Linked DNA regions of Oreochromis niloticus. The protein of the gene in region 1 interacts with the protein of each later gene in a pairwise test. Links are inferred from orthologs where the notes say so. Each region holds a gene or a part of one and is shown on either strand. Other genes may lie near its edges.

Region 1 (7,963 bases):
AAATGCGGCAGAGATTTTTCCTCGTGTTTTCTTAATCAGGAGAATTCCCTAAAACCTATTGAGGTTTTTTCATCATATGTATTTTCTTGTAAGAGATTATCTTTTTTTCCCTTTAAAAACAGGGCAGATTATGTTTTTAAGCAATGTTTTTCAGTAAAACATACAAACACTGTGGCTCTGTGGTGCAGTGGTTAACACATTTGCTTTACGAGTGAACGAGCCTTTGTTTGATTATGGAAGGAGACCCAAACCTGGGAATTGGGAAAACACCATCAGGAACATTTGGTGTAAAGTTTATGCCACTGTGATGACCCTTTTGGAAAAGGAGCGGATGAAAGTACTTCTTATAAAGAGACATGCTAATGATTAAATGCATGTTGTGTATGATACTGTCTAAAACTCTGCTATTTCATGGCAAAGTCACACAAGAGGTGTGACACAAATAGATGGCATCATCTTAATGATTGGATTGCATTTTTTGACATCTGGCAACCAAGTGCAAGTATTGCAAGCAACCAATGGCTCAACCAAAGGTTGATCATGCAATTCGCTCAGACTCTGGGCAGCCATGTTTGCTCCTACCTGGCGGGATGCAACCTATCTCCAATCACGTTACAACGTGGGCTTACTGATGCAATCAGTCAACTCGTTTGTGACACATTTCTTTGCATTTTTTCACGCATCTCTGGTTGTATTGTGGTTATACTCCAACATAAAAGCAACGCAATCAATCACTTTTTGTGATTGATTGATTGATGATTTTATTAAAAATGACTTAAACTATTTCCTTTGCTTCTGTGTTTATAATAGCATAACAATACTGCTCCAAAATCCAGAGCTGGATTATTAGAACCTCTGTGCTTACTTTAATATAGGAATGGTAGGAGCATTTTGGTAGTAAAACAGATAATTGCATCATACTTCACAACTAGGCAACCAGATCTTAAATGACCATGAACAAAAAGTTAATTTTGTATATCACTTTATTTTGCCTTATGAAGAAGTACTGCTTTAAAGTGACTGAAATGGGTGCTTGTTCATACATGTCACAAAAGTCAAGATGCTCCATTGGCTCTTTTTTTCTTTCACAGGCTTTCTGCTTTATTAAAAACATAAAATAAAATAAACCCTATTGGATAGTCTGAATTTACCGTTGCTTGGTCATATATAGGATTAGGTTAATGAAAATGAAAAGCTATTTATGCATAGAATACATTTCTCTGGAAAAAAAAACAAACCCTACAGTAATCATGTTTTTATCTTGTTTAACATGGAGGAATTATGCCAGCGAATAAACAATGCTTTACATAATTCCCTCAGTCAAAAAAAAAAAAAAAAAAAAAGATTGTACTTGGTTATAATTTTTAAAAAAATCCCAGAACAAGTTCTTTATCTTATCATATTTAGATGTTATCCTTTTTGTTTGATTAAGTTGGAATTCTGTTTTCCTTGTTGTCCAAATACATTTCTAGCTTGCTTGGCAATATTATATTATACTATATTACTATTGTTAGATATTTCATTCCCCATTACAATGCTTGGTTATTGCTTGGTTTCATAGTATTACCTTTTTTATGTTCTTTATTGGCATCTCCATGTTTTTTCTCCTCTTTTTTGCTTATTTGTTCTCTCTTAATAGTTTCACATTTTAAATGTTTTGTCAACTTTTGTATTATGGTGCAGTAAATAATGTGGAACTTCACAGGAAAAAAAAATGCAAGTTTCATTTTCAGATCTGCAGATAACCGAAAACGAGGTCTTCCTGGTTGGGTAAGTTCGAATTTTATTTTCCTTCTTTATAAAATTTCGGCCGCTAGGATATCACAGATATCACTTTCAGATATGATGTGCAATTTGGCCTTCTAAAATAACTCATTGATAGTTTATCAGCATCTTTTTTAATTTCCTTTTAAAGCTTTTAGCATTTTGGGGGGTTGTTTTAGCTTTTTTGGACTCTTACTGCCTTAAACTTTGTTTATTTAGCATCATGATAGTTAAATAAATGTTGAGACTGTAACTACCATGTGAACAAAAAAAGAACTCGAGCGACAAACGACATGACGTTCCTACATGAGACATCAAAAGTTCATCACTAGATGCTGTACCAAAACATTCATAACTTTCACTAACTACTTCTTTTGATGAAGTTTGATGGTATCGAAAATTTAACCCATATATTTTGTTCATATTTCATGAGCAGAGTCTAAGGGCACTCATAGTATGGTCTGGGTCAACTTCAACCTGGGCCAAAAACTGAATTTTGATCTACAGATCAATCTTAAATAAATGGATGATTAATCTGAGTTAATCTGAAGGCCACATGAAGTTTGGAGGTCTTTAGCAACTGACTCTGCAGAAAGTTGGCTGAGCAATCACTGACCCCACTCTGTAATTCTATATGGCCTACCACTTTGTGGCTTAGTTGCTGTCATTTGCTTCAACTTTGTTATAATACCACGTGCCTAGGCGACTGATTTTACACAACTGTGGCCACGAAAGTGACTGGAACACTATGAGTGATTTGGATAGATGAGTGAATACTTTTGGCAATACAGTGTGTACCTCTGTTCCTTATGACATAATGCATGATCATATATCATCACTCCTATACTCCATGACAGTGTCAAGGCCCCCATGAACTCTGTCACCACTGCTGGATAAAAAGATACTCACAGACATGGCATGTGTAGTTTCGCATTTTCAAGCTTCCCTATTGCCACCTTTTTTCCATGGTTTGACCCACAGTGATGGTTCTAAAATCCATCTGAATGAATATGGATCATATTTGACCCAGGAAAGTCTCAATGTATAACATTTTGTATATTTTGGGTCAGTTTAGGAAAAATCATCAGATATCTAGCTAATGGCATTTAGAGCATTTATTTTGTATTAATTATTGCCAGGGTATCTCTATTTGGCCATTTTAGGTAACAGTTGCACGAATCCTACTCCTCCAATTACCTCAGCTAGAGACAGACCCTCATTGATGTCTGATAGATTAAAAAGTGACCAATGTGGAAACTTTCACAGAGTACCCACAGGGCTCTTTGAAGTCTCTCTTCCCCATATGCAATAGGATTTTGAGTGAGTTCAACAAGATAGAAGGATGAACTGAGGGAGGAGTGCCTGTGTGGAAAGGCTTCAAGCCAACAGATAGCATGTTCAGACTAGGTGCACAAATTCTTATGAAATAATCTGTTAAGTTTATGACTTCAGGTAAAATACAGGCACTGTTTTGCATCTAAGGTAGATGCTGTATGACTTCAGGTAAAATACAGGCACTGTTTTGCATCTAATGGTAGTAGATGCTGTATAGTCTGAACAAGCAAACCACATAGCTTACAACGATGCTATAGGCAGGTGTAGGCACTCCAGGCCTCGAGTGCCGGTATCCTGCAAGTTTTAGATGTGTCCTTGATCCAACACAGCTGATTCAAATTGTTAAATTACCTCCTCAACATGCCTTGAAGTTCTCCAGAGGCCTGGTAATGAACTAATCATTTGATTCAGGTGTGTTGACCCAGGGTGATATCTAAAACCTGCAGGACACCGGCACTCAAGGCCTGGAGTTGCCTATCCCCTGCTATTGGTAATGAACAATAACAAAGTTATTACATAAAGCAGTACATGTCTCTCTTAGCCCCTCTCCATTGCTCTAAGAAAAAAATATGCTGTTATGAATACCTTTTCTGTGAAAATCGCCTGGGCTGATGATACTGTGGGTTTATCTGAGAACAGTATAGATGGCAGGATTGCAGATGAGAACCCCCACCTCTCAACAGTTCCAAACAACAACAACAACAACAACCAACAAGATAAATTTAAGTGTTCCCCACGTTTTGGCAGAAGAGTTCTTTCAACATAACATCTACTGTTTGTGGATGCTGTCCTGACTTGCACTGCATTTTCACAGCTCTGTAGGGCTGCTCACTATTTCAGATATACCTTGTTATGTAGTAGTCTGTATACCAATGTGCAATTTTAAGATTTCGTTTCATTCTTGCACATCTTTGCTTAGCTGTTATCCATATTATCCATATATCCATATTATATATTATACTACATTATACACAGCATAGTATAGTAAATATTCAAGTACAAATGTGTTGAATGAATTAAACTGCACTTTAATATTCTGGTGTGGTCTAATAACTGTTATTTAGCGTGCATTGGCATGGTTACTCTACTTCTACCACAAAAAGGTAACAGTGGTAAGCAAAATAACCTATGATAGATTTAGGACAATACTAGACAATGCATTGAATGCATACTAAATGTTAGTCACAACTTTGTATATCAGTGTACAGAGGAGAGAAATGTAACTCATTTATTAACATTTTCTAGCCAGAAATAGTGAAATGTGTGATTTCGTTTGTTTTGACACTACAGCAGTTTTTTTTATACTTAAATTGACTTAAAAGTGTGTAATTTTTCTGTTGCAGCTGCCTACTTTATATTTATATATACAGGGATACTCAGTTCAGGGAATAAACTTAAATTAACATAAATCTTTGAAAAAACGTATACATGCTTAGCCACAATATCTTATTGGACGTTATATTTGTGAAGATTTTGTCTGTAACTAGACAGGGCTGCATTTTGATATGTGAAAAGCGAACGTGTCAGTCAAGAAAAGGTGTCCATAAAGACATATTCCTTCAAGTTTATGTGTTTCTTCCTATAGTTTTTATATACACACTTTTTGAAAAAAAGAACTGTGCCCTAAACGAGTGAGTAACCATATATAGTAACTTCACTGGGCCTGGTTTACAGCATAAAAATGAACAGTTTTGAAAAGTCGCACAAGTGAAGAAAAAAAAAAGCCTAGAGTTAGAATTGACAATTTACATATAAATTTCAACGAGTGCCGCATAAAGGGTTAATACTTTTTGTTTTGTTTTATTTTATTTTCCCCCTGCCCGTATAACGCAGATGGCTCTGCGAAAATGTTTAAATGCCAGTTTATGAGCCATTACATCCGTCTGTGTGTGTGTATTTGCACGCGCGCTTGAGCATGTCGCGTATTGATGACGTCCGAACGCTGACATCGCACACAGACTGATTTAGCACCAAAAGTCCAGTAAGTAGGTGTATTTTACACTTTTATTTTACTGATCTTACAGAGTCGAGGTAAACGAGTCGTTGTTTTAACGTATGACTACGAGACTTCACGCTTGGGGAACCATTTTTCGAAGCCATCGTCACTGCTACATGTTAGCCATAGCTATTAGCACAAATGGTACAACTGCAAACTTTTCATCTAACCAGACTGAGATCAGCCTCAGGAACTTAGTTGATGAGCTCCCCTGATCCTCCCTTGTCTAAGATGAACGAGCATCTTCTCACACTGAATGCTGAGTTGTGAGCATTGCGATAACATATGTTTCCCCGAAGAAGAAACCTTTCATATCACTTGTCAAAGTTAACATAAAGCTATGTTTTACAGTGCAGCGCTGTCTAATTATTCCTGTCGGTATAAACTGACTCGGATAAATCAGATTTTATCGTTTTCATTACAGTGTAGCAAATGGTAAATGTTCGACTTCACAATATACTTTATGTAGGTTAGTAAGCAGCCTGTATTTCATTGGAAACTGCAACACAAACCGAAAAGTCACCTGTGTAGTTGTGGTGCACAGGGTAATGCTTTAGGTGAAATGTAAAGTCCATGTATGATCTTTAACTGCATTTATATTGACAGTATGTATGATTTAAGAAACTGAACTGAAAAGTACGATGTGGTCATATATGCTCTATGCTCAGGGTTAAGTTTATTCTTCATTTTAGTTAGTAGTTATTTAGTTGTGTGAAGGGAACCTGCAAAGTAAGAATTTCATTGTTCTGCGTAACCACTTGTGTTTTGCGGTGTATATGACAATAAACCTGTTGAGTATAATGCATTGGTTAATATTTGATGTGAAAATCTACATATCAGAAATGAATGACAAGGCTGATATGAAATATATTAAAGGATTATCCTTTTGTATTTTATTTTCCATAAATGTATGTATGTATGTATTTATTTATTTCTCAAACTGGAATTGCACATTTACAAGAACCTTTAAATAACTGTATTGCGCCAGTGTTTGGCATGTGACATAAAATAGGCTTTCCCCCTCTGTAATAGTAAACCAGTACGTAACCACCTGCTATGCAAGCCAAAAGTTTTACATTACATTGAATCACAAATGCTAGAAACATGTATGTATATTATGACATTTACCGCTATGTCTTTCTTTCAGTGCAGTTAGAATCTCAGATGAGCCATAAAACAAAGCTCCTCATTGTGCAGTGTGGAATGAGTTTGTTACAGTCTTTAATAGGAATCTGTGTGTTTTTTGTGGTATTTCAATAACGTGATATAGAACAATGTTTGAATAAACAAGCACCTAATTATATAAAAATCCCCTATGGAGGGAAAAAAACAAACAAATCCCTATCCCGTATGTATTTACTTGAAATAAAGGTTTATTATTTTTCTCTGTCTTGAATGTCTGTGACATAAATTGACCTTTCCATGTGAAAATGGAGGAAGCAAAGACAAAAAGCAACTTTTGGCCATTTTTATTACAATTTAAAAAAAAAAAAAAAAATTAATTAAAAAAGGAAAAAAATACAGGACAGATGGACTTTTAGTGCTGTACTGCAGAATAAAGGAAACAGTTAACTGTAATTAGTGTGATCCACACTGCGGAATTCATCCAGGATTCAACTTCAGCCATTTCTGGATAGCTGTAGCTTGCAGACATCAATTACAGTTAGGTTATGCAACTATGTTAAACCAGTGTGTTAATTTGTTTTAGTTGGGTGTCAATATTTAGCAAAAAATTTGCTAAGAAGTTCCTTAAAAAAAAAAAAAAAAAAGTGTGCATAGTCATCCATTAAAAGTAAAGACAGTCACAAATAAAACAAACCGTTCTCGCAGTGCTTAATGCCCCTGCAGACGGTGTGACCACGGGAAGCTGTAAATATGAAAGGCTGTCTGTCATGGTCTGCTTTGCTGATTGCTTTTCATTTCCTCATTGACAATGTGTCTCCAAATAAAAGAAACTCCTTCGCACTTCATCATGAAACTAATGATAGTGCTTTCTATTTATTAATGCCAGTGCCATGCTGCTCTCACTCGCCTGCGCTGAAATGCAATATAAATCATTGTATTTGGTTCTGAATCTAGCGAGGCATGGAAAATTCATGTCTTAATGAAAGAAAAGAGCCTAAATGCTTGCATAATAGGAAAATGCATTTAACAGTGTGTTTTCAAGGGATTTCAAGCTGGAGCGTAACCTTTTACATGTTACTCAGCATCTAAGATTGATCAAAGGAAACCACATGTTAGTTCTTGGGAACTGACATGTGGGAGAATAAAGAATAAGGGAAAGTAGTCCAACTGTAATTTTTTTTTTCTTCTTCCTCCTTGATTTCTGTGGTATTGTGTGATGCTGTGATATGAGTAACACCATGAAACCTGGGGCACTGACAAAATCCTTTTCCCTTTTGACCTTAAATCACTTAGCTCTTCCTCCTTCCACCAAGTAAAGTGTTACCGATTACATTGCCCAGTTTCTGTTGACATTATGACACATCTTTTAAATGCCGTTAACTGTTTTGACAGGAGATGTCGTCTTTTTGCGGCACCGGTGATGATTTTCAAGATGCAGGTCGAGAGACCGCTGAAAAACAGGCAAGTGTAGTGCGTGACATGAGAGATTTTTATTTATTTATTTATTTTAAGGTATTTGTATGAACTGAAGTCTTCTAAATGCCTTTCTTAAGTGAGATGGTGATTAAAAACTTGTGAGAATTTGAAAAATGTTACACTAAAATGCTGCTAAAAATTGCAAAATAAAATAATAAACATTTTAATTGAAGTTAATTATTTTAATGCACATTGTGTTATCCTTGCTGCTTTCCTAATACAACAGTCACACCTTGGAGCTTAGGATGTATTAACTGAATTCATTTG
Region 2 (7,290 bases), on another chromosome or scaffold:
AATTAACAATTGCAAAATACTTGATCAACCATTTTTTTCATCAGTTGAAGATGACATGAAAAAATATTTTGTTGGAATTAGAATCCCCATAGTGTACATCTGCACCGCAGTTATAACTGTACGAGAATTATCAACTGGCCTAGTTTGGGAGACAAAAGAAGGCACCACCACTACAACATCTGCAAATACAGTCATTAAAACTGAAATGGGAACAACACCATTATCAAACACAGCATAGACCTATGCTTTAAAAGGAAATATCTGACTTAAATTTATTTTGCAGTTTATTCCAGTATCGGCATGCTCTAAATCTGTGTTCCTCAGCTTTTACGGTTAACTTAAACAGCAGTATCATAACTGTTTAATTCAAGCTAAACTCTCTGTTAAATATCTCATCAACTCTGAGGCTTGATAAATAGGAAAACTGGAATACTGGGACTTTCTGGATGTGAGCACCAAATTCTTGAGTAACAATCTGAAAGGTACACATCCCATAGTAAGTCTTTTGTCTTCCTTCCCTCACCCCCAAATGGTCGCGGCAGATGGCCGCCCCTCCTGTTAAAAGGGAGTTTTTCCTTCCCACTGTCATCAAATGCTTGCTCAAAAGGAGTCGTTTGATTGTTGGGGTTTTCTCTCTTTTATTGTAGGGTCTTTACCTTACAATATAAAGTGCCTTGGGGCAACTTGGGGCAAACTGAACTGAACTGAATTAAACAGGTAATGTGAAAAATGGTGACCAGTGACTCAATATTAACATATGGACAGCACGAGGATTCAGAAAATCTCTAGTCAGTTTAAATTTTCAAATTTAACACTAGGCAACTTGGCAAATACTATATTATCCACTAGATTTTCACTGAAGATGATGAATTGCATAGAAACATCAAAGCCTTCTCCCTTTGGAGAAATGAAATTGTAAACAAGGTCTAAAGGTCGAACAGAGATCATCATTAGAGAGAAACCCTGCCTTGAGGTGTAGCTGATATCGACATAAACATGGACATAGTAAGGTGGTATCCTAGGTGTAGCTCCTTAAAATCTTGGATGAGTTCAAATCACAGGAACCTCAACCTCAACCTCAGAGTCAAGGTCAGAGGTCAAGTCTTCTGAAAATCTTGTGAATATGATAACTCAAGAAGGAAGTCACCTAGGATTTTCAAATTCATACCACAGGTGCAGCAACAAAAAATCTTGCACGAGTTTGAATCTCAGTGACCTCGACCTCAAGGTCAGAGGTCAACTTTTCTGAAAATCACCTAGGATTTTTAAATTCATACCATCTACTGGGAGTCTGAGGAGTAGCATTGGCAGCTGCCAGTATTTTTTTTAAGTATGCAGTCTGTGATTGAGAATATCATCCACAACAACAAAAAACAAAAGCAAACGCATATGATGAATAACTGTTTGTGCAGCTTTGCGCTCTTGTTTATTTTCTTGACATACCTGAGTTTGAGGGGCAGCCAGGGTTGTTTTCTTTTGCTTTTCAATATAGCTTTCTCAGTGCACCTCCAGTCCTAACATATTTGTTTGGCAATTGAAAAGTTGCTGGTTTGATTCCAGTCATAAACACAAATCCCCTTTAAGATTGCGTATCAGGAAGGGCATCCAGCGTAAAACTCAAATCAAAACATGCAGAGCTGAAAGCTTCTGGTATATATGGCTTTCTCTGTGTTTCTGAAGACCAAAGTTTCGTTCACTCAAATAAGATTAGACACAGAGCCTCTTCTTTCATTTTCCCTTTCCATCATTCTTTCATTTCTCTGTCTCCTCGCAGTCTATCTAAGCCCCCATCTCATGCCATCGCAATGCTTCTTTGTGGCACCTGGCCCTCACTGCTTCCTCTGTGAAATAGCTTTCACACTCAGTGACTTCTGTGGAATGTGAATGAAGCTGCTGCAAGGGTCATTTTTTACTACCTACCAATCATAGTCCTCGCTATGATGTGACAGTTGAGTCATAAACACATACGCTTGTGCACACACACACACACACACACACACACACATATATATATATCTTATACATATTATATATATATGTGCAAAAACCCAAACAAAAGACCCTTAAAATGTGGTTCCTTTGCAGCTTATTGTGTATTGGTGCTGTGCTCCTCAGAGCAGTAAATAAATAATGAGAACACGGTTAAAATTCTGCCAGTATTCCATTGCTCTGCTGCCTTTTGCCTCACGATAAAGAAAAGGAAGGCCTCAGTGGAAATGCAATTTCTCTTTTTTCTTTCATTTTTACATATTTCTGTTCCCCACTTCTTTAATCTCCCTGCGATTATTCCCTTTTCCCTACTCTTTTATGTCTTGTTCTCCCTTAAAAAAAACTTCTCTGCTTCGTCTGAAATTCACCGCTGTTGTTACCTTGCTATTCCTGAGTGTTTGCCATTAACATTTTTGCAAAACAAAAGCTTCCAATTCATCTCTCTTGTTCATTTTAGCAATGCGAAATGTGCCAGAAAAACAAAAAAAGAGAAAAAAGTGAAGCACTTCACATTAGAGAATAATTTGCATCTCCTTTCTTTTAAATTTCTCCAAAGGTACTCATTATTTTGAAATACTTTTAGCAGTATATTCTTTTCCTTTCTTTTAAACCAGTAATTGTCATTATCTTGTTTTACCGCACCTACATTTAAGAACCAAGTTGTTTTATGTATTGAAATGACAACTTAAAAGGAAAAGAATTACATGCTAAATGCTGATAAATTACGCCAACATAAAGGACTACCAAAAGGATTTAAATGCTTTTTAGCTTTTCCATTTAAAAATGCCCTTTTTAAAAAAATGCCAGGACAAAGGTGAAGTTGGGTGGAGATAGAAAAGGGCGGCAACCTGCGGGCTACGTCCCCTTTGTTCAGGTGGGAATGAAAGAAGCAGTGGTGGGTAATGTGAAATGACAACCACTGGTATTTAAGCTGGAGACGGATCATAATGCGAGCCAGATCTGTCTGTTTAAATGCGATGCTCTCTACTTTTCTCTTCCTTGTGGAACGGACAGTTGATATTTCAGAGAATAATAAGATAACACTCTGACATTTTATATTGAGATGAAGATCTAAAGCGGACAAATTGGGGCTGAATGATGCACATGAGTGCAACAGATAACAAGACGACGAGATCGGTGTGTGCGTGTTTTCTGTGAGTACTGCTAAGTGTGTGGGGTGCATTCGGTATTACTGGCTATGCAGCAAAATACATGTAAGCCTGTTGAACCAGACACAGCCACCATGAAATCCTGTTTCAGACTGGCTTACAGCGAATAACACACACAAAGGGGAGGCTGAATGTGTGTGAGAGAGACACAAAGAGGGAGAGAGAAAGCAGCAGATAAAAACAAACTAAGTGGCACAGGACTAGATGTTGACAAAAGGGTGGTCTTAATTAAACGGCAGTTAATAAAGGTCTACGTGTGATGTATTAGAGAGGATTCACACATATAAAGATGGAAAAACTGAAAAGTGGCAGGCAGAAAATTAAAAGTATCCTTATGTAAAGGTTAATCTGAGTATGGCAGCATGTCATTCTTGTCCCATGGAGTGTCTCACTTCTCCAGCCTTGTGGTACTTGGCATTGGCGCTGCAGCAAAGGTGCCACTAAAGCCTTTCTAAATAGAAAATAAGTGGTGTTCTGAGTGTGAGCACAGAGCTCCACAGGGAAAACTAGGGAGAAGGAATTGTACCCACAAATATCTCCCAGCCTGTGCAGATACTTAAAATGAAACATCTCCATATGCCTCCGCCTCACCCTCCCCTCAGCAGGTCATTTTGATTACTGCAGAAACCCCTTGTTTCCACCCCTTCTCCACTTCACCAGTGATCTCCCACACAGTCATTTGCATTTTCTATCTTGGCTTTCTTCCATATCTTTCGATTTATCCTGTCACACCTGTTATTCACTTGTTTTTCTTCTTTTCCACCCCCCTGTTTCGCTTCCCTCCTTCTTTGTGGCAGCACAGAACCTCATCTAAATGCACAGCCAGTCATCAGCTCTCTACCTGCTCTGGGCATTTTTATTGGAATGAAAAAGTGCAATCATCCTTTTTCTTTCTGATACAGCTCAACAAGGGTTGACACTGAATTGCTTAAATGAACAGATTCCCCACTTTTCTTGCATGTCTTGGTAGTACAGTGCATGAAAATCTTGATATTTCATTCACTTTTATGTGGCGTTGCTCGTTATCTTGTCCTGTCCTGCCGAAACAGAGCGCATAGACTTTCCAGTGCTTGCTCTCTTGCCTGCAGACAAGCAGAGCGAGAGAGGCAGGGGAGAGGAGAGTGTAAGGAGGAGGGAGAGGGTAGCAAATGAGGTGTGGGTAAAAATTATGGGGGACTGGAAAAGAGAGCAGTGGCCCAGCCCTGGATATGGAGAGAAAGAGGGTGGGGGAGAGACAGAGGAAGAAAGAGATTATACAGTGTAAAACCAGAAGATGCAGTTTTAGTAGTAGTGCGACGTGCAGATCAGTAAGCTCCTTCACCGCTGGGGAACAACCGCCTTTTGTTTCTCTCCCTCCACTGCAGTGGGGGGGTGCATTTATCGTCTTGCCCAGGGGGAGAAGCCAAGAAGTATCCTCCAATCAGCCTTTAATGATTTCTCTCGTCTTGTGAGGCTGCTGACGGTGATTTATCACTGACCTGAGACTAGCGCTGCACTCTGCACAACACTCTAACCACCTGGAATACTCGCCATGGTTTTTATTTCTTTTCTTACAAATAAATATCCTCCTGTGGATGTTTCAAAGGGAAAGACCAGAGGACAAAAGAAGGATTAAAATGGACTTACTGACTGATGTTCTTGAATTTCCTGCAGCACACTGAAGATGGACTAACTTTGACACAAGTACAGGACATATTTTTACACCCACCACTCTAACAGAAAGGCTGCATTTGTCACAGCGTGCCATGCCATATTTTATTCTGAAAGCATGGCAGGCTGGGAAGCATCCTAAACACTCCACTGCAACAATCATGTAGGACTGACACTCAGGTATAGGTAGATGATGATGATGAGCAGGAGATGGAAAGACTGGGTGACAGTTGGAACTGGCTTGCCTGCTGAGCCTGTCTGGCACTTCACTATAGGTTGATTGGCCGTCTGCTCTCGAGAGTTCAACTATCAGGTTGTTTCTCCCAAGTTATCATGCGGTTCATTGAGTGTATTTAGCTCTCCTCTGTGCTTGTGTGAGTGAGGATGCCACTCGGTGTGTGTGTGTGGTGTTTGGGATTACACAGCCTCTGGAAAGAATACAGGTGTAGCAGAGCCTTGAATAAGGATTAGCAGCTGTAACACCTTGTCACTGGCAGCAGACAGCGCGATGGTACTTTGAGACAAGACTTTCAAACTATGACCTCTTGCTGGAGGATTAATGATAACGCTCTGTGTAATATGATGACACTTAAAGGGCAAAGGAGGAGACAGGAATACGGCATATTCTAATTCCAGTTATCTTTGAAGGACGCAGACTTGGGCTAATCCTAAAGCAAACGGGAGTTTTAATTCATATTTAAATTCAGTGAGACAGTTTACAACAGCTTCATTTGAAGAGTTAAAACTAAAGCATCAGAATTAGTAACAGTGCAAAGCAGGCCTACAAATTCATAAAAAATAACCTGCCTTTCTAAATGAATTAATTGGATATGTGACAGACAACAACCCACCCAGTACAAAATCCAGCTGATCAATGAATCAGTTTTGTATTGATTTCCCAACACAGACACGATTGGAGGTTTCAGTAAATATAACCAATCAGTGAGTCCAACCCATGAGCAGTTAGGTATAGTCCTGAGTGTGGTTTAGCTGAATATGAGTGGTTTAATACTGGTCATGACTTCTGACAACAGATCAGATAAATGCTGCAGTTTCTGTATGTTTTATTTGCTTGTATTGTTTGGAGAAGCTTTATGAAAAATGACAGTTCTGCTGACAGTTACAGGAAAATTGGCACTCCCTCCGTGCAGTAAAGCTTGTAGTTGAAAGAATCGTGTCTTGTTTCCTGTCTTGATGTGTCTGTAGGTGTGCTTGTCTTTAGGTTGTTGTCTGTGGCACGCAGCTTATCTTAGCTGCACAGCAAGGGCTTAGAGATCCAGGCTACTGGCATAATGGGCACCACCCAACCTGCCCCACCTCCCTACTCGGTGCATTTCAATAGATTTAAATTATGAAATTACTTTAAACACGCATTGATCCTTAAGTGGAGGATCAGAATAGGTAAAGAGGGTTCTAAAAAGGCACCGATGAGGCTAAATTATCTCAGCAGCCACACTCAGCAGTCCTGGAAAGAGAGAAAGAGTGTAGTAGGTGGGAAGCTCCATGTGGCAGCAATGATAGCAGAAGGAAAAAACAAAACTGAGGCAAATTCTTTGATAGCTGCATTGTTTGCATCTAACGGGCTCAAAGAGCATTTTTGAAAATGTGCTTTTTGGAAGTTTAGTTCTTTGAGTGAAAAAGACTCAGGAACAGCGTGGGAGAGTTCAGCGAGAGTTCTTCTGGGAAAACTTTGTCTTTTAGTGCAGTTTTTCAAACTAAAAAGCCACTGTTGCAATTTACAGCAAGCTTTCAGTGTGATCATTTTTGAAAAGTTACTGGATAAGCACAACATTTTATGCCTGATCTATTGAATGACACACAAACCAGCAGGACTCTTGAAGCACATCTTTTCCACAGATCCAGTCAAAAATCCTTCCTGATCTACAACAAGCACACAAACCTAAACAAGACACATTTCTGCTTGCCATGGAAACAGAAACTAACACGTGGGCTTGCTGCTCTGAAACTATCTCCACGTTTAAATTTACTCTGGATTATAACACTTGAGCTGCAAACAGCACAGAAGAGAAGCGAACAGTGACACAGCCAATTAAACTGTGTTATTCCCAGCCAAGGATGTGTTGTGTGTTACTCTGAGGAGGACTAGTTGTATGCTACAACCCTGCGAATGAGGGTGGGGCTTTCCCACTGCCATAGACAAAGACCGCACAAAGAATCCTGGCGTGAGCGTTGCTCATCTGGGGCAGTTGTGGGACCTGCACAGCCACGATGGGGTGCAACATGTGTGTGGTCCAAAAACCTGAGGAACAATACAGGGTCATGTTCCAGGTGAGCTGTCTGTCTCCTCTCCTCTCTTTGTCCTTTGACTTTCTTGAATTTCTTTCTTCGTGAGTCTTCAAGCGGAAGTGTTTGTGTGTGTCCCCAAAGTATTCTTTGCTATTCTCTCCCAACTTGTTATTTTCCTTACAGTGAAGCTGCTGCACAGGTCACAACCACCTTTCTCAGAAATCAGCAGACGCTC

Evidence for each region.
Region 2: the proteins of apip (region 1) and PDZ domain-containing protein 4 interact in a two-hybrid assay, tested with the Homo sapiens proteins (2 studies listed by BioGRID and IntAct). The two-hybrid records come from large-scale screens. The link is inferred for Oreochromis niloticus from reciprocal best matches to the Homo sapiens genes APIP and PDZD4.

The regions. Positions count from the first base shown.
Region 1 is NC_031965.2:9,390,485-9,398,447, forward strand, and holds the start of apip (methylthioribulose-1-phosphate dehydratase), read left to right. Parts: upstream 1-4,946; 5' UTR 4,947-5,080; exon of another isoform or gene 5,081-5,084; intron 5,085-7,612; 5' UTR 7,613-7,615; coding exon 7,616-7,681; intron 7,682-7,963. UniProt on the Homo sapiens protein: Catalyzes the dehydration of methylthioribulose-1-phosphate (MTRu-1-P) into 2,3-diketo-5-methylthiopentyl-1-phosphate (DK-MTP-1-P).
Region 2 is NC_031984.2:10,819,343-10,826,632, reverse strand, and holds the start of PDZ domain-containing protein 4, read left to right. Parts: upstream 1-4,271; 5' UTR 4,272-7,037; coding exon 7,038-7,097; intron 7,098-7,290.